Linked DNA regions of Elephas maximus indicus. The protein of the gene in region 3 purifies or fractionates together with the protein of the main gene of each other region. This does not show direct contact. Links are inferred from orthologs where the notes say so. Each region holds a gene or a part of one and is shown on either strand. Other genes may lie near its edges.

What was found.
Region 1: the proteins of TUBB (region 3) and HDAC6 purify together in Homo sapiens (affinity purification with mass spectrometry; 4 studies listed by BioGRID, with this or other methods). This does not show direct contact. The link is inferred for Elephas maximus indicus from reciprocal best matches to the Homo sapiens genes TUBB and HDAC6.
Region 2: the proteins of TUBB (region 3) and RICTOR purify together in Homo sapiens (affinity purification with mass spectrometry; 3 studies listed by BioGRID and IntAct, with this or other methods). This does not show direct contact. The link is inferred for Elephas maximus indicus from reciprocal best matches to the Homo sapiens genes TUBB and RICTOR.
Region 4: the proteins of TUBB (region 3) and ARL2 purify together in Homo sapiens (co-immunoprecipitation; 3 studies listed by BioGRID and IntAct, counting the BioPlex papers as one, with this or other methods). This does not show direct contact. The link is inferred for Elephas maximus indicus from reciprocal best matches to the Homo sapiens genes TUBB and ARL2.

The regions. Positions count from the first base shown.
Region 1 is NC_064846.1:122,834,877-122,841,890, reverse strand, and holds the start of HDAC6 (histone deacetylase 6), read left to right. Parts: upstream 1-4,006; 5' UTR 4,007-4,116; intron 4,117-4,380; exon of another isoform or gene 4,381-4,475; intron 4,476-4,550; exon of another isoform or gene 4,551-4,653; intron 4,654-4,705; exon of another isoform or gene 4,706-4,770; intron 4,771-4,822; exon of another isoform or gene 4,823-4,966; intron 4,967-5,304; 5' UTR 5,305-5,334; coding exon 5,335-5,427; intron 5,428-5,505; coding exon 5,506-5,634; intron 5,635-5,768; coding exon 5,769-5,857; intron 5,858-7,014.
Region 2 is NC_064820.1:44,835,968-44,843,780, forward strand, and holds the start of RICTOR (rapamycin-insensitive companion of mTOR), read right to left. Parts: upstream 3,011-7,813; 5' UTR 2,951-3,010; coding exon 2,902-2,950; intron 2,727-2,901; coding exon 2,679-2,726; intron 1-2,678. UniProt on the Homo sapiens protein: Component of the mechanistic target of rapamycin complex 2 (mTORC2), which transduces signals from growth factors to pathways involved in proliferation, cytoskeletal organization, lipogenesis and anabolic output.
Region 3 is NC_064819.1:91,028,894-91,036,786, forward strand, and holds the start of TUBB (tubulin beta chain), read left to right. Parts: upstream 1-4,883; 5' UTR 4,884-5,064; coding exon 5,065-5,121; intron 5,122-6,534; coding exon 6,535-6,643; intron 6,644-6,928; coding exon 6,929-7,039; intron 7,040-7,326; coding exon 7,327-7,893. UniProt on the Homo sapiens protein: Tubulin is the major constituent of microtubules, a cylinder consisting of laterally associated linear protofilaments composed of alpha- and beta-tubulin heterodimers.
Region 4 is NC_064825.1:128,183,956-128,191,831, forward strand, and holds the start of ARL2 (ADP-ribosylation factor-like protein 2), read left to right. Parts: upstream 1-4,872; 5' UTR 4,873-4,962; coding exon 4,963-5,027; intron 5,028-7,876. Other genes in the region: BATF2 (basic leucine zipper transcriptional factor ATF-like 2), read right to left, coding at 3,846-3,918, 4,631-4,650. UniProt on the Homo sapiens protein: Small GTP-binding protein which cycles between an inactive GDP-bound and an active GTP-bound form, and the rate of cycling is regulated by guanine nucleotide exchange factors (GEF) and GTPase-activating proteins (GAP).

The DNA.
Region 1 (7,014 bases), on a different chromosome or scaffold from region 3:
CCTGTATAAGGACAGCTGTCCTAGCCTGCTATAGGAACCCAGCTCTGAAATGTCAAAAGAACCTTAGGTGATGCAAATGGTTAATATGCTCACGTTCACCCAAAGGCACCTCCGAAGAAAGGCCTGGAGATCTACTTCTGAAAAACCAGCCATTGAAAATCCTATCAAGCACAGTTCTACTCTGACACACATGGGATTGCCATGAGTCAGAGTTGACTCAACAGCAACTGTTTTTTGTTTTGTTTAATTATCAACAGGAAGCCTACCCTGATCCTGGACAGAAATACCAGCCCTCGCCTTGTATATGAACCCCTGTTGTCCACCATTTTGTCATCTGATGTGATTTTCTTATGCGTTGTAAATCCTACTTCTAGGCTGTTAATGAGGTGGGATTAATGGCAGTTATGTTAATGAGGGAGACCTCACTCTGCAGGATTAGGTTGTATCTTGAGTCAATCTCTTGAGATATAAAAAAGAGAAGCAGCAGAGAGGAGAGGGACATCATGTCACCAAGAAAGAAGCGCCAGGAGCGGAGCGTGTCATTTGGACCCAGGGTCCCTGCTCTGAGAAGCTCCCAGACAAGGGGAAGATTGATGACAAGGACCTTCCCTCAGAACCAACAGAGAGAGAAAGCCTTCCCCAGGAGCCGGCGCCCTGAATTCGGACTTCTAGCCTACTAGAATACGAGAGAATAAATTTCTGTTTGTTAAAGCCATCCACGTGTGGTATTTCTGTCATAGCACATAACTAAGACAGGAATCTAAGAAATAAAGCAGCACAAAAACACCTACCCTGTATAGGAACCTCTGTTCAGACCTTGTTAAACAACTTGTTATCCGAATCACCGTGAACACCTGTCCTGAAGCTGTACAAGAATCCCCGACCTAACCCTCTAGGAACCTAGCTCTGATCCCGTACAGAAATACCTGTCCTGAGTATGTTGTGATCATCTGGCCTAACTGTCTACAGAAAACCACTCTCCTGGCCTCTAAATGACAACCTAACCTTAACCTGTATAGGCAAAACTGCTTTTACACCCTTCTCTCTCACTTTATGATGTCTCCAACCCCATATTTTCCTACAAACCTGCATTACCATGTAACAGAGTTATTTTCCTGACCCCAGACAGGAAACACTAACTTGATCCTGTACAGAAACCCCTACCCCTACATAGTACAAGAATCTCTGTTCCAGCCCATAAAGCAAAACGAGACTAAAGGGGCACACCAGCCAAGGGTAAAGGACTGGAAGGCAGGAGGGAACAGGCAAGCTGGTAATAGGGAACCCAAGGTCAAGAAGGAAGAGTGTTGACATGTAGTGGGGTTGGTAACCAATGTCCCAAAACAATATGCGTACTAACTGTTTAATGAGAAGCTAGTTTGTTCTGTAAACCTTCATCTAAAGTACAATTGAAAAAAAAGAATCCCTGTCCCAATACTTTAAAGAGAATTCTCTACAGCAACACTCTGTCCAACAGAAATATAATGCAAGTCACATGTGTAATTTAAAATTTTCATGTAGCCACGTTAAAAAAGTAAAAAGAAAAGGTGAAATGAAATTTAATTATATATTTACTTTAAATACATCCAAACATTAACATTTCAACATGTAATCAATACAGAAAAATAAGATATTTAAAATTTTTTTCATACTAAGTTTTCAAAATCCAGTGTGTAGTTTACATTTACAGCACATCTCAATTTGGACTAGGCACATTTCAAGTGCTCAGTAGCCACATGTAGCTAGTGGCTAACACTGGACAGCATAGCTCTATGGAGTCTATAGAATTCTGTAGCAGACACTGCTATGGGCTCATCAAAACCTGTTCATTATCCCTGAGCTCATTCTATCTTTTCCAACCTCCCTTGCAGTTAGATGTGGACATATGATAGAGTTCTGGCCAAGAGAGTGTAAGCAGAAGTGTTACGCACCACTTCCAGGCCTGGCCCATAAAATCCTCTCCGGTAATCCTCCACTCTCTCTCTTGCTCCATTTACCAGCTGAATAGCAAGAACTCCGAGGAGGTAAAGGAAAATAAAGCCACTAAATGGAAGTTTCCTTGGCCCATGAAGGACCTGTAGTAAATATGCAGATTGGATTTTGTGTGAGCAAGAAATAAACATTTATTTGTTAAGGCCTCTGAGATTTTGGGTTTGTTACAGTAGCTAGCATAATTTATCCAAATTAATAGCAATTTCTTGACCTGAATCTGGACATGAACACCTAATCTTACTGTCTATATGAACACAAGCTCTGAACCTGTACAGAAACACCTCTTCTAACCCTGTACTGGACCCCCTGATCTCTTTGTAGAAACCTGTCATAATGCAGTCTAAGAAGCCCCATCCTGAACTTGTACAGGAACCCCTAGTCTAGAGCTCCCTAGGAATGTCTGTCTCATATTGCATAGAATCTCCTGCTTGATCCAGGAGAGGAACACCACTACTAAAACTATAGGAACCTCTGGGCCTTCCCTGTCCAGGAAGGTTTGCTTGACCCAGTAGAGGAACACCAGAAGTGACCTGGCCTTGTAAATGAACCCCTGTCCTCAAACCTAACAGAAAAGGAATACCTCTCTTCAGGCCACAGGGAACCCCTGCCCTCATCCTATAGAAGAATCCCAGCCAGGTAAGGAAAACCAAGGACTGATACTCTAAGCAGGGATTGGCAAACTATAGATTGCAGGCAAGGCCAGCTTGTAGCCTGTTTTTACCCTTTCAAAGGGTTGTTAAAAAAAATAAAAATATGCCATAGAGACCTTATGTGGTCTTCAAAAGCCTAAAATCTGGCCTTTACTAGAGTTTGCCAACCTCTGCTCTATAGGAACCTCTCTCCTGACTACAAAAAATTGGGCCTTGACCCATTCCAGACTCCCTACACTTTTATTTTGCAAGCATAACAACCCCAGAATGTTTCCCAGTGTGTATCATTGTATGTGTATTTTCTTTGAGGTTTAAAGGTCTTAAGTCTATGACTCTCTTCCACTGGTACAAAAGGCATGTTCAGATGGAAAAGAATGAAAGGCATGAAGAGGCTGGAAGTGGGGGGGGGGTCTTCAAGAGGGTCAGAAGGCCCACCTACTGGGCGGTGGGGCTGTCAATCTATTTGTTAGTCAGCGCTGCTGAACCCCAGACCGCTTATCTCTCTGGCCCCAGCCTGCAGCCCGGTAGGAAATGGTGGAGAATGAGAGGGAGATTAGGAGGACAAACCGACCTCCTGCAGAGCTGATATTTAGACAGGGGTGGGAGGGAGAGCGGGCCATAGGAACAACTCCCCCTACTCTCTAGGCACACAGGCTTTGTATTACAGCTTGAGTGCAGTTTACCCGGTGGAGGGAGGCAGATAGGGAGACCAGCCAACCATGAAAAACTCCGACTCCATTCTAGCCTCGGGCAATATTATTATCACAATTTTCCATATGAGGAAACTGAAGCACAGAGATGTTCAGTAACTTGCCCAAGGTCACATGGCCAAGTCATGTAACCTCAGTTTCCTTATCTGCAAAGCAGCATTAATAATGGGAAGTACCTCATAGAGTTGTGGCTAACAATGCCTGGTGTACAGTACTTGCTAGCGTTACAATTGGAAACCCGGTGGTGCAGTGGTTAAACAACTTGGCTGCTAACCAAAAGGTGGGTAGTTTGAATCGAACTCGGAGACCCTATAGGGCAGTTCTATTGTCGTATAGGGTCGCTAAGTCTGAATCGACTAGACAGCAACGCGTTTGGTTTTTTGCTTTTAGCCTTACAATTACTTGTCCCACTACGCCTCCCCCTGCGCCACCACCCATTTTCCCAGAATTTTAATAGCTTTTTTAACATTTGGTGTGTGCTTAATGTGTGCGACCTTAGTGAATATCAACTCATAGAATCCCCACAGTATTTATGATCATCATCATTCGCACTTTGGCCGCTACCAAACCGTCCTTCAGTTTCAACCCCACTCTGGGCCCCACTTCGGGCCCAGCAGCCAGCCCGCCCAAGCTACGTCATCACGGAGCGCCGCGCCGGAAGCAGCGGGAAAGTGGGAAAACGCCGTTGCCTAACTCCCTCCCTTCCCTGCGCTCTCTTGAATCTTTGCAAGGCACAATCGTCGCGGATCCAGAGGGTTCCTGAGGTGACTGGGCAGGGGCAGAGGGTTGGTGGCCAAGGCAGGCAAGCAGTAGCCGGGGGACGGGACAGCCTTAGCCTTGTATTGAACCGCTAGTGCTACTTCACGCAGGCGCAGCATAGACAGTTTCTCCTGCCTCCGCGCCGGTTTTGTGAGCTTGCGGAAGGTGTGGCCAGCGCGATGGGCGTGGTCTTGGGGGGCACTGAGGAAGCTGGTGTGGGCGGGATCTCAGCAGGCAGAGAGAACCGCCCCAATGGAAAGGAGGAGCCTGGGAACCCGCCGTCCCACAAGTCGCCAGAATTTGCTAGCGAGAGCAATGGGCGGGGTTTGAGAGGGGGCCGCGCCCAGTGAGTGGAACCGAAGCGGTTGGTCTGCGTCAATGTGGGGAGCGAGAAGGGGGCGGAAGCTAGCGGGAGGCGGCTCAGGACTGGCTAGAGGGGGTTGGTGTGGCGTTAAGTGTAGGGCCTAGGGCAGGGGATAGGGTCTGGAGGAAGGAAAGTAGTCCTCTCAGGGGCGGGACTTATTGAAACGTTAGGGGCGAGGGTAGGTGAATCGTTAAGCTTGGGATGGGGCAGTGGCTGGGTTTGGCTGAGTGAAAGCGTGGGCGATTTTCCCTGGAGATCGCCGTAAAAGGAAGATTTGTGAAGGGGTGGGGTCTGGGTGAGGCTTGTTGTTAGGTACTGTCGAGCCGATTCCGAATCATAGCGATCCTGTAGGGCAGGATAGAACTGCCCCATAGTGCTTCAAAGGAGCGGCTGGTGGATTGAAACTGCTGACCTTTTGGTTAGCAGCCGAGCTCTTAACCGCTACACCATCAGAGTTCCACAACCAGGACGAGGCTTAGAAGAATGAAAGGGTCTGGGAATGGGGGGCTAGGTAGAGTGGAAGGGCGGGGATTAGCTGGGAAGGGCAGGCCCTAGAAAGGACTGAGTCGGGAATTAATGGCTCAGTGAAAGGGCAAGTATTTGAAAGAGGAAAAGAGAATTGTGTAAAAGGGGTAGAATTTAGTGGAAAGGTGAAAGGGACACCCCAGTGGAGGGAGAGGGTCTTGGGAGAAGTGGAGTTTTAGAAGGCAGTGGGGAATAGGCTAGCATAAGGGATGGAGAATAGTATAGGAGGCGGGCCGGCAAGGGGAAGGATATTGGGTCCTCTGGGCACACCGTCCCTTACAGACAGTCACGTCTACTCCCCCAGGACCGTGTCAGGGGCTCAGTCTCTCCTACCATGACCTCCACCGGCCAAGATTCCACCACAAACAGACAGCGAAGGAGTAGACACAACCCCCACTCACCCTCCCATAACTCCAGCGTCATCTCGGTGAGGCCCCAGACCGGCCCCGGGGAGGGAGAGCCGTGGATTGTCCCCTGGACTCTGACCCTTCTTTCTGCTTGACAGAAGCGTGGTGTTAAAAAGGGTGCTGTACCCCGCTCCAGCCCTAGTCTAGCAGAGGTAAAGAAGAAAGGCAGAATGAAGAAGCTCAGCCAAGCAGCAGAGCAAGACCTAATCATGGGGCTGCAAGAGCTGGTGAGAGGGGCCTGGCCTGGATTTAGCCTCCAATGGCAACCCAAGACCCTGAGGTTTCCCATCCTGGACAGTATGGAATGTTCCCTCTGACTCAGGCTCTAATTGGATCTGTGTCTCCCATTTTTTCCCTGCAGGATCTGAACCTGGAGCCCAAGGCACTGTCTGGCACAGGCTTGGTGTTCGAAGAGCAGCTAAATGAATTCCACTGCCTCTGGGATGACAGGTGAGGCTGAGTCCTCTAAGCAGTCCCCAAAAACACATTAGCAAGAAGGAATTCTTTCTTAGGGCAGCCTGGAAACTGGAAGCAGATGATTTGGGGAGGTGGGGCTTAGAGTTAAAAGGGTTCCTTTTAGCACCTACTGTGTGCCAGGAGGAATCCTTGGGTGATGTAAACAGTTGTGTGCCAGGAGGAATCCTTGGGTGATGTAAACAGTTAAGTTCAGCTGTTAACTACAGGTTGGAGGTTTGAGTCTACCCAGAGGTGCCCTGGAAGAAAGGCCTGGTGATCTACTTCAAAAAATCAGCCATTGAAAACCCTATGAAGCATAGTTCTGCTTTGACACACATGAAATTGCCATGAATTGGAATTGACTCAATGGCAACTGGTAACTGGTAGTAGTATGCTAGGAGTTGGTGATACAAATGTGGACAAGATAGACAAGGTCCTCTCTCAGAGAGCTGAAAGGAGAGTAGGAGAGCTGATCATTAAACAGCCAATGGCAGTATGAATTGTTTAATGAAGGAGGACTTAAGACCAGGGGATTGAAGGGTATTTAATAGAGGACCCTAAGCTAGCATTCAGGGTTCCTGGATGGCTTCACTGGGGCAAGGACATTTATGGTGAAAATGAAGAATTACACTTCCCACAGACTCTACTTTCACCCTTGTTGTAATCCATCAGTAAATCCTTATTGGCTCTATGTTCAAAATATACATATTCAGTATCTGATCTCTCCACACCACCTCTACTGCTGCCACAGTCAGTAGAGGTGGTGTGGAGAGATCAGATACTGAATACACCTAGACTATTGCAGAGGCCTCCTCACTGGTTCCGCTGCTTTTGCCCTCATCCCTACAATCTGTTTTCCACACAACAGCTTAAAAAAAAATTCTTCAAAGGTGGACCGTTGCCCTCAAGGTAAAGTCCAAATTCTTCATCCTGGCCTCTAAGGTTCCACATGACTGGCCCCACATCATCTTTGTAACTTCATCAGCCACCATCCTGTCCCTCATTCACTTCACTTCACCTGTATTGGTCCCCTTGCTGTTCCTCAAACATGCCAGGTACCCTCTCGCCTCAGGTCTTTACTCTGGCTGATCCTTTCTCCAGAGATTCCTTTCTGTCTCCTCTTCTCCCAGCTAGTGCTTATTCACCATTCA
Region 2 (7,813 bases), on a different chromosome or scaffold from region 3:
TTACTAGATGCTTATTACAGTGGTTACAACGACTAGAATCTCTATTTTATACTGAAGTTTGTTAGCTATCTACACAATGAATTTCTCAAAGATTACATAAAAACAATCAGATGAGAGCAAACAGTGCCTCAGCACTAAGTTTTGGTTGCCCAAACTTTATCTTTTTACACATTGTAATCTAATCCACAGACAGCCGCCCTTTAGCTGCAACCCAGATTGCCCCTCAGTTCTCAAATTATAAGTGAATTTTAGTTCTTCATAAACTTTCTTCTTGTTATATCCACAAGGCTTCTTTTAGCAATGCAATATTTGTCAGAATAACAATTTGTTTAAACAGAAGTAGCACTATATAATGCATCTAACTCAGATAGCTTCTTTAACTCTCAACTTCCTTAAGGTTTAGGCATACAGTTCTCACATAACCTCTCACTCTTAGTCATATACTGTATTGCATTTGCAATCAGTTTCAATTGGCTGCGTAAATTTTATTCCAAGCTGAAGTATATTTTGTCAGGGCAAATAGGAATAGCATTTTCTATTCTGTTTTTATTATCCTGGAAACACCTATGGACATAGTAGGTGTTTACGAAATGCTTAGCACTTTAAATAGTAAGTGTATACAGTTATCTAAGTAGTTGAATAAAATTACAGAAAATCAATGGTATTAAATAAAATTTGCAGATAAGCTCTTCTACAACCCAAAATTCTGACACCAACCAGAGAAACCACTATGTAGAAGCTCAGCAAATGCAACTCAAAGCACAACCAGAACTTCTTTTCAGCACCATATCCAAGTACATTCTTAGTGAGCAAATTGGAATCAAGAGCTACAAATGCTCTTTCACCTCCTCGTAAAAAACATATGCTCTTATATAAATTAAATCACTAATAAATACCTCTGTTACAGGGTTGGAATGCCAAAATTTCAGCTCTGTAGCAATTATGTTTATTTTGTAAGGAAATGTACTAGAAAATCTTTCTCACATATATATGTTAATATAAATATACCTTTCGTATGTACATTACATATATTTTATATAATGAAGTTGCCACACTGCTGCACAAAAGTCAAAAGCTTTACATCTTCTACACTAATTCTCAAAACCTATCTGCTGCAAAAACGTTCCAATTTAATTGGTGACTAATTAATCACCATTTCTATTACTTAAGCCCTACTATAGTATGTTTCAGAGCCCCGGTAGCCTAGTGGCTAAGAGGTCAGCTGCTAACCAAAAGGTGCGCAGTTCAAATCCACCAGCAACTCCTTGGAAACCGTATCGGGCAGTTCTACTTTGTCCTACAGTGTCGCTATGAGTCTGAATCGACTGGATTGCAAAGGGTTTGGTTTTTTCTATGGTATTTTAGAAACTCTTCTGCCTGGAAAAGGACCTAGTTCACCCAAAACTAAGTCCCTGAACTTGCAGGATAAAATATTAAGTTACAAAAAGGTACTCAAGTAGCTAAATAAAAAAGGAATCTTTTCGTTTACAAAAGAGTAATCTTACATTATGAGGTACAAAATAAAAGAAATTAAAAAGAACGTGCTATGCTTTAAGTACAAGGAGCCTCAACAATGAGCCCATGTCTAAGAAATACTGTAGATAACAATAACTATGTCAACTACAGAATAGGGTAAAAAGGCAATTTAAAAAAAATTTTAATGTTTTACAACGACTTTATCTTTTAACTTCCGAAGGTGTCGATCAGATTTCAAAAAAGAAACTGATTTCTGTAGGGGCTGAACCAGGTTATGCTCTAAGCTACCGCCGGTATGAAATGACTTCGTTGGAATCAGTAGACCAAAGTCAGTTTACTGCGGGAGAGAAAAGAAAAATCTTATATACAACTACTAAGTCTTCTTTTTAAGTCTTCAACGAGATATAACCCAATAAATTCCAGTACAGCGACTGACAGAAGAAATACTGGCTAGTAGCAGAATTAGGTCCTCAAAAACTAAAACCGGGGTTTACCCAGTTCCGAGGTGTAAACAAACCCATCTCAACTGCAGAAGGTAAACAATGAACCTGCAGCTGGCTGAGGGGGCAGTCTTTGCCAACTACTGTCCCAGCGGCCGGGAATGCGAAGCAGGAGGGAAACACAGCTTAGACCAGACACTTAGCAGCAAAGACCAGCTCTAAGTCTCACTATCGAGTTATCAGTGCTGCGGGTCCCCCAGGGCGGTAGGCAAAGAGAAAAGTAGTCACGCAGCCATCAACAACAAGCAGGTCCGGCTTCTGCTCCTGGGGACGGGGAGGGCAGGATGTGGTCTCTCTTCCCTCAAACATCCTCTTGCAACCTAAATAACAGCCTCTATCTCCCTCCGGCCGCCCCCAGGATTCGGCTGCACCAGCTCCAGGATAGGTGTAAAACGTCCCCCGGGGGTCCAGAAAACCAAGAGGGTCGCCAGCCCCGCCGAGTCCCGTTCGGTGCTTCCCCGCAGTTCACCGAGGCCGGGAGGAAGGCTCGGGGTTCGGGAAGCCGGCACTGGGGAGGCGGACGGGTCCGGCGAGGCGGCCCCGGGCTCGGTTCCGGCGGGCCGGCAGGCGGGGCTCGGGCTCTGCCCCCGGCATTCCCGCCGGTCCAGTGCGGGGCCCGTCCCGGTCCCCGGTCCCCAGCCCCCAGCCCCGGCTCCTCCCCAGCAGCGCGTCCTCGCGGGCGCCCGCTGCGCCCCGCGTTACCTCGGGTCAGATCCAGCGGGACGTTCTCCTCGCCGCTGTCATTCCGTCCTGCGTGAAACACACAGACACACAGCCCCAATTAGGATTCGCTCGCAGGCCAGCGGCTGTAGCCGTGGCTCCGTCCGGCGCCCCAGCTCGCTCCCCCCACCCAGGGACAGGGGGAGATAAGTGCCAGGGGTGGTGGTCGCCGGGCGGTGAGGGGTGAAGGCTGCAGCGGGCTTACCTCGTATTCGGAGATTCTTCAGCGAGCGGCCGCGGCCGATCGCCGCCATATTGACGGGTCTCAGTCACAACACCGGAAACCTCGCCCAATCGCGCGAGAACCCCTTCCCCTCCCCGCGCGCCGCGCCCGCCCCCCGCGGCACCTCCTCCGTCCCCTCCTCGGCGGGAGGCTTAGCCCGGGGTGGGGAGGGAGTGCCGCGCGGGCCCAGTGTCTGTGCCGGGGTCACGTTGCCCACCCGGGAAGACGAGGACGCGGCGACGGTCTGCTTCTCCGAGAGTGCGTCTCCCGGGAGGGGGCATTTCCCACGAGGGGAATCCCATTGATGCGAGCTGGCAGCGTGGAGGATGCTTCCCCTGTAGCTTCCGTGGAAACCGTACAGTCAAAACAGGGGCGAGCTGCCTGGAGGAGGCCGGGATGCGGCGGGCGGCCACCTGCTGAAACCATCCTGCCTGATGCTCCAGTTTGCTCTCACGTCCTGGGGTAGACGAGCCCGCTTCCTTATTCTTTCATTAAAACGATTTTTATCAAAAACAACAACAAAAAAAGCCAAACGCTGCGCGTTGTTTTAACCTCACTTAAATCCATACTTAGAGTCGCCTTGCTCCAACCTAAGTTAAGATGTAACAAAGTTTGTTTTCCACCTTCCAACTGACCACCGTGCTAAGCGGCCTTGCACTCGAGCTTCAAAACCACTGTTAGCCGGGAGGGATTCTCCCAGTGGAAGTGTTTGGGTGGAGGTTTTGTTTTTTGACCGCCTGGATACTAGGAGGGAGAAGGGGATCGTCCCAGCAGTGGGATTGTTCTTGGCCGCGCGCGAGCTGGCAGGCGCGAGGAGGTGGGTTCCTACCAGGAGCAAGGAGGGGTGCTGTGACTCTTCTGTGTCGCTCTTAGAACAGTGGCTAATGTAGGTGTTGTGGGTTAATATATTTAATACATAAACCTAACAGTTATTAACAGTCAGGATTTTAATTCTATAAAACTGGCCCCTGACCGCTTAAATTACTCTTAAAACTGAATTCACTTTAAAAGAAAAGGGAAGCGTTTCTCTCTTCTCAGCTGTAAAGGCGTTTTTTCCGCCTATTCCTCAAGTGTTTGTCCTTTGTTTTCCTTGAGACTGGACGTTAATTGAAGGTGGACACCTTAACCAGCTCTTTCCCAGCTCCCAGTTGGTACAGTGCCTCGCACAGATAAGTGTTCAATAAATACCTGTTGAATGAGTAAATGCCCTGGATTCTTTCCTTGTTCCAGTGTCCTTCTTGCTTTTAAAGGCAGTGTTGGAAATTTCTGCCGTTATTTACAATAGTGAAAAATTGGAAACACTTAAAATGACCAAAGGTAGGGAATTGGTTATAGAAATTATGGCAGCCATTATCATGTAAAACTAGTAAGCATGTATTTATAGGAAATAACGTTCCTGATATTAAATCAAGGAAGAAATGACAAAGATGTTCCCATTTTTATCAATGTTTAAAATAATGTAAAGTAAAAATACATTTTATAAAGTATGATGTTATATATGTCTGTGCGTAAGAAAAGTCAAGAGCAGCTATACGCCAAATGTTACTTCATTTTCCTTCCCCCAGTTGTGGAATTACAGATGCGGTTTTTTGTTGTCATTGTTCTTGTTTATTTATCTATACTTTTTAAATGTCCTAAAATTAATATATATTACCTTTAAAATAAATAAAAGTTTTAAAGACAAAAGTAAAAGCAACATAGAGTAGTATCATCATGAAAATAAGACAGAAACACTGCTTCCTGCAGACACTAAATACGCTTCGTGTTTCTATTCCAGGTCCTTCTCTTACCAGGTCTACATTCAGTTTCCGCTGCTTATTTAAGGATGCCATATACTTAGGGAGCCCTGGTAGTGTAGTGGTTAAGTGGTACAGCTGCTAACCAAAGGGTCAGCAGTTCAAATCCACCAGCTGCTCCTTGGAAACTCAATGGGGCAGTTCTACTCTGTCTTACAGGGTCACTGTAAGTCGAAATCGACTCCACAGCAATGGGTTTGGTTTGGTTTTTTTTTTTGGTTTATACAGTTAGAGTGCTCTGAAGAAATGTTCCTGACATTGTGAGTTGTAATTTAGTAACAACTAATGTGCTCCCTCTTTTATAGCTTGGTGCAAACTATTCTGGTTAATGCCTAAGGCAAGAATCACAAAACTTAAGGTTTGGCCAGGACATTAAAAATTTTTGCACTGCATCTTCCGTGTGTCACACATTTCACCATTTTAGGAAAGTAGAGATGTATCTGGAAGGTCTACCAGATTCCTACCACTGTTCCGATTTTTTACCAACCCTTTTTATCTGATTTTTTTTTTTAATATCTAGCAGTTCTACTCTGTCCTATAGGGTCGCTGTGAGTCGGGATCGACTGGAGGACAGTGGGTTTGGGTTTTTTATTCTAAATTAACTCTATTCTAAGAGAGTTTAAATTCATTTTCAGCTTTTTATGCAAATTGAGTACAGCTGATCTACTTTTTTATTAAAGACTTCAGGTATTAAAAAAAAAAAAAAACCCATTGTCATCCAGTCAATGCCAACTCATTGTGACCCTATATTGTATACGAAAGCCTAAACCCAATAGCCTTTCATTTTTTAACTTATGTCATTTTTAAAGATAATTTTTCAATTACTCCATCTCTTCTAACAGGAAAAAAAAAATTACCTTTCTTCAGTCTTACACTGAAAGTAGTTTTTCCTCTGTTACTATCTCAGTCATTTGAGTGGCTAAATTCTCTACTATTTGCTCTTAAGGTAAAGGGCATTTTCTAGTAAAAAGAAAAAGTTCTTAGTGTTTGCAAATGACACCCAACTAGGAAACAAGAGTGTAAGGACATACCTATTTTAGTAGTAGGAAACCCTACAGGGCAGTTCTACCCAGATTCCACTCCAGGGCAACAAGTTACATTTAGAGATGTTGCTTGCTTTTGAAACAATACCACTGTGTTTTTTTTATCCTAGTGAGCTTATTTGCTTAAAACCCCTAAGTTATTTTCTGTGATACTTGCCCATAGGCATTCCTCTATTTCAAACTTTTTTCTCTTACTTGTTTATTTTAGCCCACTGTTTCTCTTACTCAAAGGAGCCCTTGTGGCACAGTGGTTAAGGTGCTCAACTGAGTCGGAATAGACTCCACTGCAATGGGTTTTTTGGTTTTTATGTCTTACTCAAGGAGCCCTGGTGGTACGGTGGTTAAAGTGCTCGGCTACTAACAGAAAAGTTGGTGGTTGGTAACTCACCAGCCTCCCTGGAGAAGAAAGATGCAGCAGTCTGCTTCCACAAAGATTTACAGCCTTGGAAACCCTATGGGGCAGTTCTACTCTATTCTATAGGGTCACTATGGGTTGGAATGACGGCAACTGGTATGGTTTTGGTGTATGTCTTACTCATTTGTTTACTTCATACTACTTCTCCAATTTCCCTGGTCATGTTGATTCTAATCTGGTCATTGAGAATGTTACTTCCTCTTCTTAGTTTTCATTTCCCAACTAGGTTTCGTTTGCAGAGTCAATGAATGTGTTTTCTCATAGTATAAGTCATTGACAAAAAAAAAAAAAGTCATATGAGACTGAGTCTAGGACCACAGCTCTAAAAGATAACTGCTTGATTTCCAAGATACAATGACTCCATTGAAAATCACTTTCTGGGTTCTATTCACTATTCTGTTGGGCACAGTTAATAATTCAAGTTTAAAAAACCGTATATCAATTTCGGATGCAGTCATAACGTTGAACAAAAACAAAAGCCTTGCCAAAATCTTAGTTCCCTTTAATTTATCTGCCTTGTTGCATAGGACATATGAAGACAAAGCAAGTCGAAAACCACAAAATTTGGTCAGTCTATTTCTTGGTAACTTCTTTTCATAGTTAAACCACATGTTTAAGGTTAAGGCCATTAAATTGACAGGCAGTGGACTAAATCAAACAAATGTTATAATCCCTCACAGGGTTGATATGAATGTTCAGCCTTGGTCACAGAAGCAAGTAGCCTCCTAGTATATTTCCTTTAAATTTTAATTTTTGTCCCCAAATCTCATTTTTTTCATGTCGTAAAATTCTGTAAGGTATAAAGGCCCTCTATAAAAACAGTTTTGAATGAAGAATAAGTTTAAATTTGTGGAAGAGGAAAATACATATATATCTACAAAATAAAATCTGGAAGAATAGGAATTAAAAGTTTAATAGTGATTATTAATAGAATTTTGATTTTTTTCTTTCTTATTTTAATTGTTCTAAAATAAATTTGTATCACTTGTGCATATCTTTTTTAGGAAAACTATTCTAGAGAAATTGTGTTGGGAGCCCTGCTGGGACAGTGGTTAAGAGCTCAGCTGCTAACCAAAAAAAGGTTGGCAGTTTGAATCTACCAAGCACTCCTTAGAAACCTATGGGGCAGTTCTACTCTCTCCTATAGGGTTACGATCAGTCAGAATAGACTCGACAGCAGTGGGCTTGATTTGTTTTTTTATTCTAAATCGCAGTTATAAACATTTGACTATAATAATAACTTGTTAAGCAGTGAATCTATCAAATTTGTGTGTCATTAAAAAAAAAAACTGAGCATGCACCCAAACATAGAACATAAAGAGGAAATAAAAAATGGTTAAGATTGTACTTGTCTTGGTTGTTTAGTGCTACTATAACAGAAATACCACAAGTAGATGGCTTTAACAAAAAGAAACTTATTTTCTTACAGCCTAGGAGGCTAGAAGTCCAAATTCAGGGTACCATCTCCAGGGGATGACCTTCTCTCTCTGACAGCTCTGGAGGAAGGTCCTTGTCATCAATCTTCCCCTGGTCTAGGAGCTTCTCAGTGCAGGAACCTCAGGTCCAAAGGACGTGCTCTGTTCCCAGCATTGCTTTCTTGGTGGTATGAGGTCCCCTGCCCCTCTGTTTACTTCTCTATT
Region 3 (7,893 bases):
CACATGCATTAGAAAAACAAACAGCCCTAGGACACCTAGGCAATGAAGGGTACATGCAATGCATTATTCATACTTAACACCCAACCAGCCACACTGGATTATTTGAATCTCTTCATCTTCTCCCACCAAAATAAAACCACCCCCAGAGTCCAGGACTCTAGACTGAAACAATCAACTCAATTAGTCTCCTCTTCTCTATTCCCAGTAAAAAGGATTTTTTTGTGTCTCCTCTTATAACCCTCCAAAACCTCCCCACAAAAATAAAAGGCCTATACTGATACTAAGGAGCCCTGGTGGAGCAAAGCATTAAGCACCTGGCTGCTAACCAAAATGTTGGTGGTTCAACCTATTAGCAGCTCTGAAGGAGAAAAGACCTGGTGATCTGCTCAGATAAGATTACAGCCTAGGAAGCCCTATGGGGCAGTTCTACTCTGTCATATGGGAACACTATGAGTAAGAATCAACTCAATGGCACACAACGACAATACTGCTGCTTCAGCACCCAATACCCTCTGACCTTTTTCTGGTCCATGGGCACTGCTGAAGATATGCAGTCGCCCTAGGGGTTCCAAGTTGCTCCCCACAGATTCACTGGATCTCTCTGTTTCCTCCTCTTCTTCAGCCTCCCAGTCGATAACCTGGGTATCCTCCATAATCTGGAAGGGAACACATTATCATCATCCCCATCATTAGCTCATACACACAGTATTAGAGAGGAGACTGATAACTGGGGGTGAAACTGGATAGTTACGGAGGTTGATGATTTTCTTTCCGTCAATCGTTGTTATTATCCTCCTGAAGCGTTTTTCAAATATCTTTGATGACAGAGAGAGAAATATACAGCCTCTAGTACACAAACATAACAACGATTGTGAGCGTGGCGCAGGACCAGGGTAGTGTTTTGTTCTGTTGTACACAGGGTCGCTATGAGTTGGAACTGACTCAACGGCACCTAACAACACAGATACATGTGAACATATGTACTTCCTTACATAAACAAAAGTTTTGAGAAACAATACTTAACCTTAGTATGCACAATACGCTGATTATCTTTCATCTATTTTTTCTATACCACATATATCTCTTAAACGTTGACTTGCAACCTACTAAGTTGATTTCACTATCCATTATTGGGTCACAACCTATAGTTTGAAAAAGAGAATTTCAAAGGGAATTAACCTTTGCCAAACATCAACTATGTGTTGGGCATTGTGTTATGTGTCAGGCATCATAGCCATATGAGGTACGCATTTATGAAAGTAATGCTAAAAATATTTTTAAAAGTTGCTCAATATAACACAGCAGTAAGTAGAAAGGATAGGAATATATGTAATTCTGGCTGTAACGCCCATGCTTTTTACACTTTATCCTATCACCTCAATGTGATCACACTGAACTGCAAAGAATCATAAAACCAACCATCATGTAAAGATGCTTGCTTTATGCCAGTTACTATTCTAATTACACTAGCTGACTCATTTAACAGAAGAGCCCTGTAAGGTAGGTATTATTGTTATCTCCCATTTTTTCACATAAAGAAACTGTGACACAAAAGAACTTGCCCAAGATCACCCTGATGTCTCTCCTATTTAGTACCCTTTGCTGGCTTCCCATGTTCACAGGATAAAATAAAATCTAACTCCTTAGCAAGACCCTCCACGATCTGAACTTCATGTCCTGCAATGCCTCGCTCCCCCAATTTCACGAGCCTATAATTCAGTCACATGGGCCTTCTAATTAATCTCTGAAAACACAGTCCTCCTTGTCCTGCACACCTGCATGCCTTAGCCCAGCTTGCCTCTGGCCTTTCACTCTGAGTTTCCTGCTCCAACTCCTAATCATCCCTCAAGATTCAGTTCCAATGTCACAGCTTTCCAGTGTTCCTCCTGTATGTTCCGCAGCCTATCCAAACACTTCTCATTATAGTGTAACCATTACTTTCCATTTCTGCCTTCACACGCCCCCTCCAGGGCTGGACCAGCAGAACTGTCTTTTCCCCTAAAGTCCATCATATTCAACAGTAGTTATGGAGCAAAGTTTGCCGTCAAGGTATGTGGGACATATCCGTGAACCAAACATAAAATGAGCCCTGTCTTCATGGAGGTTACATCACTGAGCCTACTGGTAAAAGAACAAATGAAAGAAGAAGCAACTCAAAATAGCATGAGTGGGATTCACTTAGAAGGATGCCACCCTAGAGGGAAACTGGTCAGGTAGGGAAAGTAAGACGACCCCTGGATAGTGTCAACTCCATCCTCATGACCGGCCTGGCCTACGAGTCTTGACTCCAGTACACCAACATCTTCGATCCACAGCCCAAGTAGGTTCCGTTATGATCCAACGTCTCCCTGCGTCTTCATACCTAGAAGTCTGAGCTGGACGTCAGGAACGGATGAACACTGTAATCCCCGAAGCAAATGCCGAATGGTCTCCGCCCAGTCGCTCCCAAGGCACGCCCCTCCCGACCTCCGGGGAAAGGAGAAAATGGCACCCCGGGAAGCCGTGGGGGAGGCCCCCAGAACTCACCTACTTTGAGTCCCCGCGCGCGCCACCAGTAACGGCCGCGACCCGGGAGGCGGGAGTGCGTGTGCAGGAAGAGGACAGGTCCGCTGGTTGGCTCTTGTTGCTGTCCTTTACAGCTCTGCTGCACGCTGATTGGTAAAGTCTCCGCGCGGAGGCTCAGCCCTCCCCCGCCCCACCCCCGCAGTTCAAAAAGGCTGCAAGGAGGCTGAGATCTGTTGAGACTGTAATGGGAGGCTTCCGTGCGCCCGCAGAATAGAGCACCTCGATTGGGTAGCTCGAAGGGACAACCTACTACCGTTTCACCTCCCACCTCCCACTTCCCGCGCAGATTTCCAAACCGCGACCACAGAGTGCGACACCATCTTCTGGCGGCGGATAGAGGGGCTGTACCATAGACGTCGCCCGATGAGTCTGTTGCGGCCAGAGCGCCGTTCCTCCGTCCTCCTAGGCATGGTGTCTGCTGACTCATGAGAAATGGGTCGCGGGTTGCAGTCGTGGCTGCAGGCTGCAGTTTGGAGAACCGTTCGAAGGCGTGGCGCTTGAGGACTCCTCATAACAATGGAATTTCATTTCCTTTTTATTTGGCTTGTTTTATAGAAGTGCTGTCTTTTCCTGGGAATACATTCCTGACGGACATTTTGAGGTCATTTTCCTAAATCTCCCTAGGCAAACAGAGAGGACTGTTATGTATATGTTAAATGTATTTTAAAGGATGACCGAGGTCTGTCCGCAGCTTTCAAAGGGTGGGGGGAAGATAATAAAATCATTTTATTTCATTACCTCAAACTAAGACATGAAAAGAACAGTAACAATTTGACCTATGTATTATTATTATTTTTTATTATTATTTAGGCAGTCCTCTCTCATTTGTTACCTCAGTTAATTTTGACTACAACAATCAAATAGGCAGAAGTCAATTTTACAGACGAGGGAACTAAAGCTCTGTAGTTAAATGTCTTGCGTAAGTTCCTACAGCTAATGTAAAAAAAAAAAATGTTAGACGGAGTCAAATTGAAACAAGTTCTCTTAATTCCATGTTCTGAGCTCTCTCTACTGCCACAAACTTGTTTTCATTGTGATCATGCCCTAAAACATAGAATATCCTTTAAAAAAAAAAAATTCCACCTCAAGTGAGTAGATGGACATGAAAGGGTCTTACACAACTTGATGCTCCTTTATTTAGAAAGCGTCTGAGAAATGTGTGTTAAATTGAACGTGAATTAACAATGATGACCTTGCTATCATCTCTTATATTATGCTGCTTACCACGCTATTGTTATTACTTGTTTATTTGTTTCATCTAACTGCAAGGTCCTTGGGGTCAGGGAGCCAGTTCCTAATCATTTTTGTATCCCTAGTTCCTTGGTTTGGTGGACACTTAGTATCCATCAAATGAATGAATCTCCAGAAGGAGCATGCCACTCTGACCCACCCAATTTTCTCACACCGCTATTCACCTACCTCCCTTTTTATTTTTCAATTTTGGGACTCTAGATCAATGTGAACTGCATTAGGCACCTAACCCCACAGTTCCCTGTTAAACAAAAAGACCAAGGTGTCTTCAACAGTGCTTCAGGGCCCAGATCCTCTACATGGACCAAGACTTCTGACTTCACAGGTCCCAGATATCAGCTTCCCTAATCAATGAACTTATTCTTTGAACACACACTCCAGACAACTACATCTCTATTCTGAAAAGTCCTTGCTGCAATTTTGTTTCTCTTTTGAAATATCATTCGGAAACTCCCAAATAAATAGCAAGAGGGCAATCCCCTCCTGTTTCCAGAGGTATGTAGAGGAACCGTGGCTTACTGGAGTTCAAGCCTAGGTCATCAAAGGACCAGAAGATAGTAGCAAAGCAGGGTGCCGCACTTCTCCCCCGTTTTCGCTGAGGTAAGCAGCCCAATCTTCCTAAGAGCTACGGCAGCGGGGAGCTTTTCAGGGCGTGCCCAGCCCACCTCCCAATGCCTGGCACCCCAGACTTCCCAATTCTTGCATCTCCCAAAACTACTCCCCTCTGTACACACAAAAAAAGAGGAACAGAGGAAAGGGATCTTGTGCAAGGTCATAGTTTTTCATTAAAAAACAAAACACCAAAAAAAACCAGTACCCACCCTTTCGTCACCTCATTTTGCAGCGTGGACAACAATAGAGGACTACAACTCCCAGAGAGGACCGCGCGCGTCCCACTCTCGCGAAGACCAATGGGTGTCTGGTACATGACAGGCATCGACTAATCAGGGACAGACTTGATGAGGCTTTGTCTCCCGACCGCGGCGCGGGACCCAATCTCCCGCCCCCCAGCCCCCGCGCACGCGCGCCCCGCCCTGCCGCCTTCCCTCCCTCACCCTCCCCCTTCCTTCTTTCTCCCTCTCAGAACCTTCCTGCCGCCGCGTTCGGACCTCGCTGCTCCAGACTCCGGGGCACGTTCCATCCCCGCAGCCTGCGATCTGCAGAGCCAAAAATTATATATCGTTCTCTTGCCCCGCACACAACCGAGGCGAGCAGAAAAAAAAAAAAAAACTAAAATAAATTTTCATCATGAGGGAAATCGTGCACATCCAGGCTGGTCAGTGTGGCAACCAGATCGGTGCCAAGGTAAGGATTCTAAAACCTCTTAATATTTCTTTCAAGAAGAAAAATTCAGATCAGTTATGAAGGATGGTTGTGGATATTCGCGCTCTCCATCCGTAATCGAGCTTTGCAAAAATAAAAAGTGTGTGTATATACGCAGACACATTTGTAGCTAGAATTGCCTTTTGGAAAATGGGGAATTTGGTAAGTTTTCTCATTTTGGGTAAGCTGTTGACGGTTTGGGGGGCGGGAAGACGGAGGATCTGTAAGATTTTACTTAGGAGGGATCTTATAACGGTCCGAGGACGGGGGAGGGAAGAGACTAGCAAAGGGCTCGAGACAAAGCGAGGCGAGGTCGGCCCCATGTGCCTCCCGCCCAACCCCCCCGTGACTCGGGTTAGGACGAGACTGGAGGGGGAAGGGGCGAGGCTGGGCGGGCAGCTGCAGAGGGCAAGCCAAAGGTGGGGGGCGCGGTGCGCCAGAGTGGGCTGCTGCCCGTCCTGCACGAAAGATCAGGGACCTCGGCGCGCCCGCGGTCCCCGAGGGGCGGCTCCGTAGTTTTGCGTGGATGGAACGATAAAATGTATAGGGTCAATTTTACTTCCTTTTATTTCCTCTTTATGAGACCCTTTTAGGGCGTGAACAGATAGGAGACAGAAGGCGCGAGAAAAGGGGGAATAGGCTCGCTAAAAGGTCCTCTCGGGATAGTTGGAGGAAAAGAAAAAGAATCCTTTAAGGCAGGAAGGAAAAAAAACTATCGAAGGAATAAAATTCCAAAGCCGGGGGGGAGGGGGATTTTACTTTTTTTTTTTTGCGCGGGTTACAGTGTAGCGGGGGAGGGGACGGGGAGGAAGTGCGCTTGCTACGTTGTAGCAGCAGGGCGGGGCCCGGCGGGGGCGGGGCCCTGGCGCGCGGGGACAATGCGGCTCTGCCCGCCGGCGGGGGCGCTCGAGCCCGGCCCCGCCCCCCGCGCGGAATTCGCGCCCTCGGCTCCGCCCCTCCCACGCGCGACACCGCCCTTTGTCAGCTCCACGCGCGCGTGCGCGCGCCGCAGTCACGTGGAGCAGGGGGAGCGACTGCGGCAGCGGCGCGCTTCTTGGTCCCCGGTCCTTTGTGCATGGAGGGGCGGTGCCCGGGGGGGCGGGAGGGGAGCTTATCCGGTCAGCTCTGCCTCCCCACCCACTCGCCTCAGTGCCCATGAACGCCAGGCTCTCTCAGCAGCATATCGTCTCAAGTCCCAAGGAGTGGAGTTGAGTAAAGTATATAAATTGAGGTTCCTGAGGATGCGGGTGTTTAGGGAAAGGGCGTGGCAGGCGGAGAGAAGGGGTGCCAGGCTTTGAAACAGAGCCTACATGGTGCGCCTGGAATAAAATGGAAGGGGATGCATAGTTGGCTGGAACCCGAGCCAGCCAGGGGCTCATTGCTCTCCTTCGGCAGTTTTGGGAGGTGATCAGCGATGAACATGGCATCGACCCCACCGGCACCTACCATGGGGACAGCGACCTACAGCTGGACCGGATCTCCGTGTACTACAATGAAGCCACAGGTGAGGGCGTGTGCCCGCGAGGATCGGGTCCCATCTCCTCGCCCACTTCTCGGGGGGGGTTTCTTTCAATCTCTGGGGAATACCTTGTTCCTTTTGCATGAGTCCATCATCCTTTCCCTTTGGAAATGTTCCTCAATTTGGTTTCTTCCAACTTCTGGGGCCAAAGCCCAGCTCTGCTGCCACCTGCTTGCAGCGCCTGGAATCACAAGTCTGGGTCCCAGGCTCCCTCAACCCAATGCATTAGTTTTCCCTTCCAGTCAGTCGCTCTTACTCTTTTTCCTGTAGGTGGCAAATATGTTCCTCGTGCTATCTTGGTGGATTTAGAACCTGGGACCATGGACTCTGTTCGCTCAGGTCCTTTTGGTCAGATCTTCAGACCAGACAACTTTGTTTTTGGTAAGTTATACAGAAGAGATCAGTAGATGTAGTCTTATTTAGTTTGAGTATAAGGGGATAAACGAGAGTTAGAAGATGATGGTTTTACTGGAGAACTTACAGAAGGCTCTGATAGAAAGTGTAGGTAACAATTGTCTTAGCTGGTAGGTTCTAGAGGAGGATATATCACAGGCGAGGGTGGAGTAAAGATATCTCCAAGGGGGTTATTCCAAAAGTTGAAAGGTAGAAGTGTGCTCATGTACCTTCACACCTTCCTAATCAAGCTTGATTCCTTGACCCCATTCCAGGTCAGTCTGGGGCAGGCAACAACTGGGCCAAAGGCCACTATACAGAGGGGGCCGAGCTGGTCGACTCTGTCTTGGATGTGGTGCGGAAGGAGGCTGAGAGTTGTGACTGCCTGCAGGGCTTCCAACTGACCCACTCACTTGGCGGAGGCACAGGCTCTGGGATGGGCACCTTGCTCATCAGTAAGATCCGTGAAGAGTATCCTGACCGCATCATGAATACCTTCAGTGTGGTGCCCTCACCCAAAGTATCCGACACTGTGGTTGAGCCCTACAATGCCACCCTCTCTGTCCACCAGTTGGTAGAGAACACTGACGAGACCTATTGCATTGATAATGAGGCCCTTTACGATATCTGCTTCCGCACTCTCAAGCTGACCACGCCAACCTATGGAGACCTGAACCATCTTGTCTCAGCCACCATGAGCGGTGTCACCACCTGCCTCCGCTTCCCTGGCCAGCTCAATGCTGACCTCCGCAAGCTGGCAGTCAACATGGTGCCTTTCCCACGTCTCCACTTCTTCATGCCTGGCTTTGCCCCACTAACCAGCCGTGGCAGCCAGCAGTACC
Region 4 (7,876 bases), on a different chromosome or scaffold from region 3:
AGCTTTCAGCTGAGCTTCTAGACTAAGACAGGCTAGGAAGAACGATCTGGTGGTCTACTTCTGGAAAAGAAAAAATAGCCAGTGAAAACCTTATGAATAGCAGCGGAACATTGTCTGATATAGTGCTGGAAGACGAGCCCCTCAGGTTTGAAGGCACTCAAAAGATGACTGGGGAAGACCTGCTGCCTCAAAGTAGAGTCAACCTGAATGATGTAAATGGAGTCAAGCTTTCAGGACCTTCATTTGCTGATGTGGCACGACTCAAAATGAGAAGAAACGGCTGCAAACATCCATTAATAATTGGAACATGGGGTGTACGAACCATGAATCTAGGAAAATTGGAAATCATCAAAAATGAAATGGAATGTATAAAGATCGATATGCTAGGTATTAGTGAGCTGAAATGGACTGGTATTGGCCATTTGGAATTGGACAGTCATATGGTCTACTATGCTGGGAATGGTAAGTTGAATAGGAAAGAGGTTGCATTCATCGTCAAAAAGAACATTTCAAGATCTATCCTGAAGTACAACGCTGTCAATGATAGGATAATATCCATATGCCTAAAAGGAAGACAAGTTAACACTACTATTCAAATTTACACACCAACCACTAAGGCCAAAGACAAAGAAATTGAAGATTTTTTACCAACTTCTGCAGTCTCAGATTGATCAAACATGCAATCAGGATGTATTGATAATTACTGGTGGTTGTAATGTGCAAGTTGGAAACAAAGAAGCATCAGTAGTTGGAAAATACAGCCTTGGTGATAGAAATGATTCCAGAGATCACATGACAGAATTTTGCAAGACCGACAAATTTTTCATCGTAAATGCCTTTTTTCAACAACATAACCAGCGACTATACATGGGGATCTTGCCAGATGGAAAACACAGGAATCAAACTGACTACATCTGTGGAAAGAGACAATGGAAAAGCTCAATATTATCAGTCAGAACAAGGCCAGGGGCCAACAGTGGAACAGGCCATTAATTGCTCACATGCAAGTTCAAGTTGAAGTTGAAGAAAATTACAACAACTCCACAAGAGCCAAAGTAGAACCTCGAGAATACCCCACCTAAATTTAAAGATCATCTCAAGAACAGACCTGATGCATTGAACACTAATGACCAAAGACCACACAAGTTGTGTAATGACATCAAAGAGGCCATTAAAAGGACAGGAAAAGAAAAAACCAAAATGGATGTCAGAAGAAACTTGCTCTTGAATGCTGAATAGAAGAAATGATGAAAGAAAAGAGCTGACCAGAAGATTTCAAAGGGCAGCTCAAAAAGACAAAGTACTATAATGACACGTGCAAAGATGTGGAGCTAGAAAACCAAAAAGGAAGAACACGTTCAGCATTTCTTAAGCTAAAAGAACTGAAAAAAAAAATTCAAGCCTCGAGTTGCAATATCAAAAGATTCAACGAACAAAAATACTGATTGACGCAGGAAGCATCAAAAGAAGATGGAAGGAATACACAGAGTCACTGTACCGAAAAGAATTGGTCGATATTTGACCATTTCAGGAGAAAGCATATGATCAAGAACCGATGGTACTAAAGGAAGAAGCCCAAGCTGCGCTGGAAGCACTGGCGAAAAACAAGGCTCCAGGAACTGACGGAATACCGACTGAGATGTTTCAACAAAGGGGTGCAGTGTTAGAAAGTAGTCACTTGTTTATGCCAAGAAATTTGGAACACAGCTACCTGGCCAACTGTCTTAGTCATCTAGTGCTCCTATAACAGAAATACCACAAGTGGATGGCTTTAACAAACAGAAGTTTATCCTCTCACAGTTCAGCAGGCTAGAAGTCTGAATTCAGGGCGTCAGCTCCAGGGGAAGGCTTTCTCTCTCTGTAGGCTCTGGAGGAAGGTCCTTATCATCAGTCTTCCCTTGGTCTGGGAGCATCTCAGCACAGGAACCTCAGATCCAAAGGACGCACTCTGCTTTCTTGGTGGTATGAAGTTCCCATGTCTCTCTGCTTACTTCTCTCTTCTATAACTCAAAAGAGATTGGCTTAAGACACTGTCTAATCTTGTAGGTCTCATCAATATAACTGCTGCTAATCCGTCTTATTACATCAGAGTGATAGGATTTACAACACATACGGAAATCACATCAGATGATAAAACGGTAAACAATCATACAATTATACAAGGGAATCACGGTCTAGCCAAGTTGACAGATACTTTTGGGGGGCACAATTCAACTCACGACACCAACCAACTGGAGGAGAGCCATATTTATGCCTATTCCAAAAAAACGTAATTCAACAGAACGCAGAAATTATCCAACAATATCATTAATATCACATACAGGTAAAATATTGCTGAAGATCATTCAAAAGCGGTTGCAGCAGTATATTGACAGAGAACTGCGAGAAATTCAAGCCAGATTCAGAAGACGACATGGAAATAGGGATATCATTGCTGATGTCATATAGAACCTGGAGGAAAGTAGAGAACACCAGAAAGATGTTTACCTGTGTTTTACTGACTATGCAAAAGCATTCAACTGTGTGGATCATAACAAATTATGGATAACATTATGAAGAATGGGAATTCCAGAACACTTAATCGTGCTCATGAGGAACCTGTACAAAGACCAAGAGGCAGTTGTTGGAATAGAACAAAGAGATATTATGTGGTTTAAAGTCAGGAAAGGTATAGGTTAGGGTTGTATCCTTTCACCATACTTATTCAATCTGTATGCTGAGCAAATAACCCCAGAAGCTGGACTATATGAAGAAGAATACGGCATCAGGATTGGAGGAAGGCTCATTAACAACCTGCGTTATGCAGATGACACAACCTTGATTGCTGAAAGTGAAGAGGATTTGAAGCACTTACTGATGAATATCAAAGACCACACCCTTCAGTATGGATTGTCCCTCAACATAAAGAAAACAAAAATCCTCACAACTGGATCAATAAGTAACATCATAATAAATGGAGAAAAGATTAAGTTGTCAAGGATTTCATTTTACTTGGATCCACAATCAACACCCACGGACGCAGCAGTGAAGAAATCAAAGGACGCATTGCATCGGGCAAATCTACTGCGAAAGACCTCCTTAAAGTATTTAAAACCGAAGATCCTCCCTTGAAGACTAAGCCATAGTGTTTTCGATCGCCTCATATGCATGTGAAAGCTGGACAATGAACAAGGAAGACTGAAGAATTGATGCCTTTGAGTTATGGCTTGGTGAAAATATTGACTATACTACGGACTGCCAAAAGAAGAAACAAATCTGTCTTGGAAGAAGTACAGCCAGAATGCTCCTTAGAAGCAAGGACAGGGAGACTTCGTCTCACATACTTTAGACATATTATCGGGGGGATCAGTCCTTGGAGGAGGCCATCATGTTTGGTAAAGTAGAGGGTCAGCGAAAAAGAGAAAGACCCTCAACAAAATGGACTGACACAGTGACTGCAACAATGGCCTCAAGCATGACAAAAATTCTGAGGATGGTGCAGGACCAGGCAGTGTATCCTTCTGTTATGCATAGGGTCTCTATGACTTGGAACCGACTCAAGGGCACCTAACAAGAACTCTGCTAGAAGTCCCTGGATGGTACAAATGATTAAAATGTTCAGCACCTAATGGAAAGGTTGAAAGTTCCAAGTCCACCCAGAAGTGCCTCAGAAAAAAGGCCTGGCACTCTATTGCAAAAAGCCAGTCATTGAACACCCTATACAGCACAGTTCTACTCTGACACACAAGGGGTCACCAGGAATCAGCATTAACTCCCCATCAACTGTTTGGTTCCTTTGTGCTGTCTACTCACACTTACCCTATAGTGAACTTGTGGAAGGGCTCAAAATAACACACGAGACTCACCCTTCTGAGCTTACAATCTGCTTGCTTCCTGGCCTCAGTTTCCTCAGTTTTTCTGGATCTCTTGGGTACTAAACTAAGGGAAAGAACCAAACTGTTGGACAAAGTCACTCATTCAACAGCAACTATTTATTGAGCATCTACTATTTGCCAGTCACTGTGGGCCTCAAGAAAACCCTGGTTGTGTAGTGGTTAATGTTTAAGTGCTACCGCTGCTAACTAAAAAAGGTCAGCAGTTCCAAGAATCCACGAGGCACTCCTTGGAAACCCTATGGGGCAGTTCTACCGCCCTATAAGGTCGTTATGAGTCAGAATCGACTGGACAGCAGCGAGTTTTTGGTGGGCCTCATTTTTGTCATCAGCAAACGTGAGATTGTTTTTCTTCAAAGGGAAACCATGGGCTCAGGCGGGACAATTCTTGTGAGGGTCTGTCCCCAGCATTGCAGGACACTACCTACTATCCCTGCTTCCCACCGTCTAAACGTGGGGGAATCTTCCCTCCGTCGCTGAATCAACCCAAAACACGCAACCCCACCCCACCCCGCACATTTCCAACGGTCCCTAGGGACCAATACCGGCATTCAGGAGCCTGGCAAGGGGGAGGCCCAATTCCTGTTCCGTCATTGGCAAATTTAGGATGACACCAAGGCCCCAAAAGAGCGGGATCTGGACCACGTTTCCGGGTAACAGGCCCTTACACAGCCTCCAGGACAGCCCCAGGTCATGAGGCTCTCGCTTCTGACTCCTGGGTCCCCGGCTGGCCACACCTTTTTGCAGGTACTCCCTACCTGGCCAAGATCCAACCCATGAACTTCAGGTTTCCGTTCCCGGCCGAGTTTTTGGGTCCTGGGAGGACGGAATAGACTCGCCCTCGCCCCCAACTGTCGGCCCTCGGGACGCGAAGGGTTAAGGCAGGTGGCCGCGCAGAAGCCGCGCCGCCGCTAGAGGGACCCCAGCAGAGACACAGCGCGGCCGCTCTGAGGTCACGTGGGGCAAGGGCGGGCCCAAAAAGGGCTGGCCAATGGGCTGTGCTGTCGCTGGGCGTGATAGCCAATAGGAGCAAGGAGCGGGGATCCCAGGACTAGGAAGAAACGGCGGCCGGGAGGGGGCTGCTGGGATCATGGGGCTTCTGACCATTCTGAAGAAAATGAAGGAGAAAGAGCGGGAGCTGCGACTGCTCATGCTGTATCCTCCCGGACGGCGGAGCCGCTAGGGTAGTGGGGTCCCAGCCGGGGGGCAGTGACAGACGCCCCCTACCGGGCGCGGGGTGCGCGGCCGGCCAGCTCGTACCAACTGCCCATTGTGCGTCACGCACGTGGGCCCTACCAATCGCTCGGGCTGGGGCCGAGAGGAGGCCGTACCATCGGCTCGGGGAGGGGGGACTCCAGTCCAGAGGCCAAAGGTGTGGGCCTAAAGGCGCAGCGGAGGGACCAGGCGTCCCAAGCGTAGCGGGGCGATAGGGCCCGGAGGTGACTCAGACGTCACCGTCCGGAGGCCTGGCACGAGCGTGGGACCGCTGTCCTCCCGGCTCTGACCTCTTCCCCCCTGTCCGAGGGTGCCGGCCCCGGCCCCGCCCCCAAACTCGGAATCCCGGGGACGCGGCCCCGCCCTCTGCTCCCGGGGGGCGAGGGTTGGTTCCGCTGGGCGGTTTGCTTGCGGGCTAGACTGTGTGTGACACCCCGCGGCCCCTCGGTGTCCCCGAAGCTGAGGACTTGTTAGCCCCAGGGTCCCTGCATTCATTCACCCTACTCTGTGTGGCGCAGTGGTAAAGAGTTCCGTCGTTAACCAAAAAGGTTGGCAGTTCGAATCCACCAGCCGCTCCCTGGAAACCCTATGGGGCACTTCGCGCCTTTCCTATAGGGTTACTATGAGTCGGAATCCACTGGACAGCAGTGGGAGTTTTACACTGTGCCGGGCCACGTGGGGCATCTGAGACCCACTAGTTGGGCCAGCAGAGAAGTCGCTTATGCGCGCAAATAATTTAAAAATATGCCCGCCGTGTTCATTTTAAAGATCCCGGAGAAAGGCGCAGAGAATTCACTCATTCAAGAAATACGTATTTATGGAGCGCCTCCTGTGTGCCATGTTTGCTAGGTAAAACAGCAAAACAAAGTTCTGTCCTCTTGAATGTTATAGAATGCCTGAGGGGAGAAAGATGATAAAACAAATAAAATATTTTTTGTGGGGAGAGAAGAATGCCGTTAAAATAGGGTGAGCCAAGAAAGGCTCCTGGAGATGACGGGTGAGTAAAGTGAGGGGTGAACTGTGTAATTACCTGGAGAAGACTAGTCAAGGCAAAGACAAGGGCAAGTGCAAAGGGCCCAAAAGGAACTCAGCTGGTGCGTTCAAGGGCAGTGTGACTGGAGAGAATGAGCAGGGAAGAGAGCACTAGAAGATTAGGTCAGAGGTGTCTGGGGAAGACAGTCCAGGCAGGGTCTTGTACAGAGGAGAAGAGTGGTCTGACTTTGGCTTCTGTGTTGCAAATAGAGGACATGGGTTAAGGGCAGAAGGGGGAGACCAGTTAGGGGTCAATCACGATAATGAGAACGAGATAGGATGGTGGCTTGGATCAGAGTGGAATCATCATAGTGATGAAGTAGGAAGGTAATGAGAGAGCAGGCAGGAATTGCTCCTGGATTGGCCAACGGTGTGAGAAAGCAAAGTCAAGCCTGACTCTTGGCTTTCTGGCCTGAGCAATTAGAAGAATGAGGAGCCTAGCTGACAGAGAAGACCAGGGCAGAGCAGGTCGGGACAGGGATGGAAGCTGAGAGCTCACTTGGCCATGTGAGATGCCTCTGAGACATCCCAGGAATGTCAGGGAGGCAGCTGGGTTTTGGGACAGGTGACCAGGGGAGCAGCTGGGCGAGAGGCATCAATTTGGGAGTCAACAGCATAAAGATGGTATTTGCAGTCAGGATCCTGGATGAGCTCACCTAGAGGGTGAGTGTGACAGAGAAGAGAGTGAAGTGTACTCCGTCCAATCAAGAGATCAGGGTGATGAGGAGGAGCAGCCAGGAGATATGAGGAGGCCCCAGCGAGGACATGTCTCAGAGCAAGGGCAGCATGGGTCAGGGAGTGAGAGACAGGCAGGTCTGTCAGGTGCTGCTGGTAGAGCTGGAAGATGGGAACCAAGCACCGACCAGCCATTGGAGAGCACAGTGGAGGTCTCTGGGGACTGACCATGGCAAGAGCAATTTTAGGGAGGCAGAGGGAGCAGAAGCCTGATGGAAGTGGGCTCTAGAAAGAGCAAGAGGGCAGATTGGGGAGAGTGATGGAGGCAGCGTTTCGAGGAGCTTTGCTGTAAAGGGAAGGAAATAAACAGCTAGCTGGAGAAAGGAGAGGGAACAAGAGAAGGTTTTGTTTGCTTTTTCTAAGCGGGGAGTAACAACAGTGAGGTTGTCAGCTGATGGGAATGATCCCGTGTGGAAGGAATCATGGATGATGCAGGGAGAGGGGAGAAATATCAGCTGCCAGTTATCAGGGGCCGTGGCTGGGTTTCAGGGCAGGTCCTCTCATCACCCCATTTCATGGCTTGAGTCACTTGCCCCAGGTAAGGTGAGCAATAAGAGGCTGAGCCCAGGGCCTGTGTCCCTCCACACACACACACACGCACACACACACACACACCACACACACACCACACAGAGCTACAAGTCCCCGTAAGTGTTGGAAGGAAAGAGGAAGGTTGTCTCTCCCACTTGGGGAACTCACCATTCCTTTGCACACTCATTCAGCAGTAAAGGGTTTGGTACATTCCAGAAACAACGAAGAAAGGGTAGGTGCCCCCAGTTATTTGCTCCTGCTGTTCCCTCTGCCTGGAATGCCCTTCCCCAGTCTTTCAGAAAACTGACTCCTTGTAGTTCGGGCCTCACCTCAAGACACCTTCTCACAGAAGGTGACCTTCTCAGAGCCTCATCATTGGGTTTCTGAAGCTCACCAGCATCTTAAGTTTCTCACTGGTTTGCACTTTTTCAGCTGTCTCCTTGCTCAATTGTGAGCTGCCCAAGGGTGGGGACTTTGTCCTCTTATCTGGG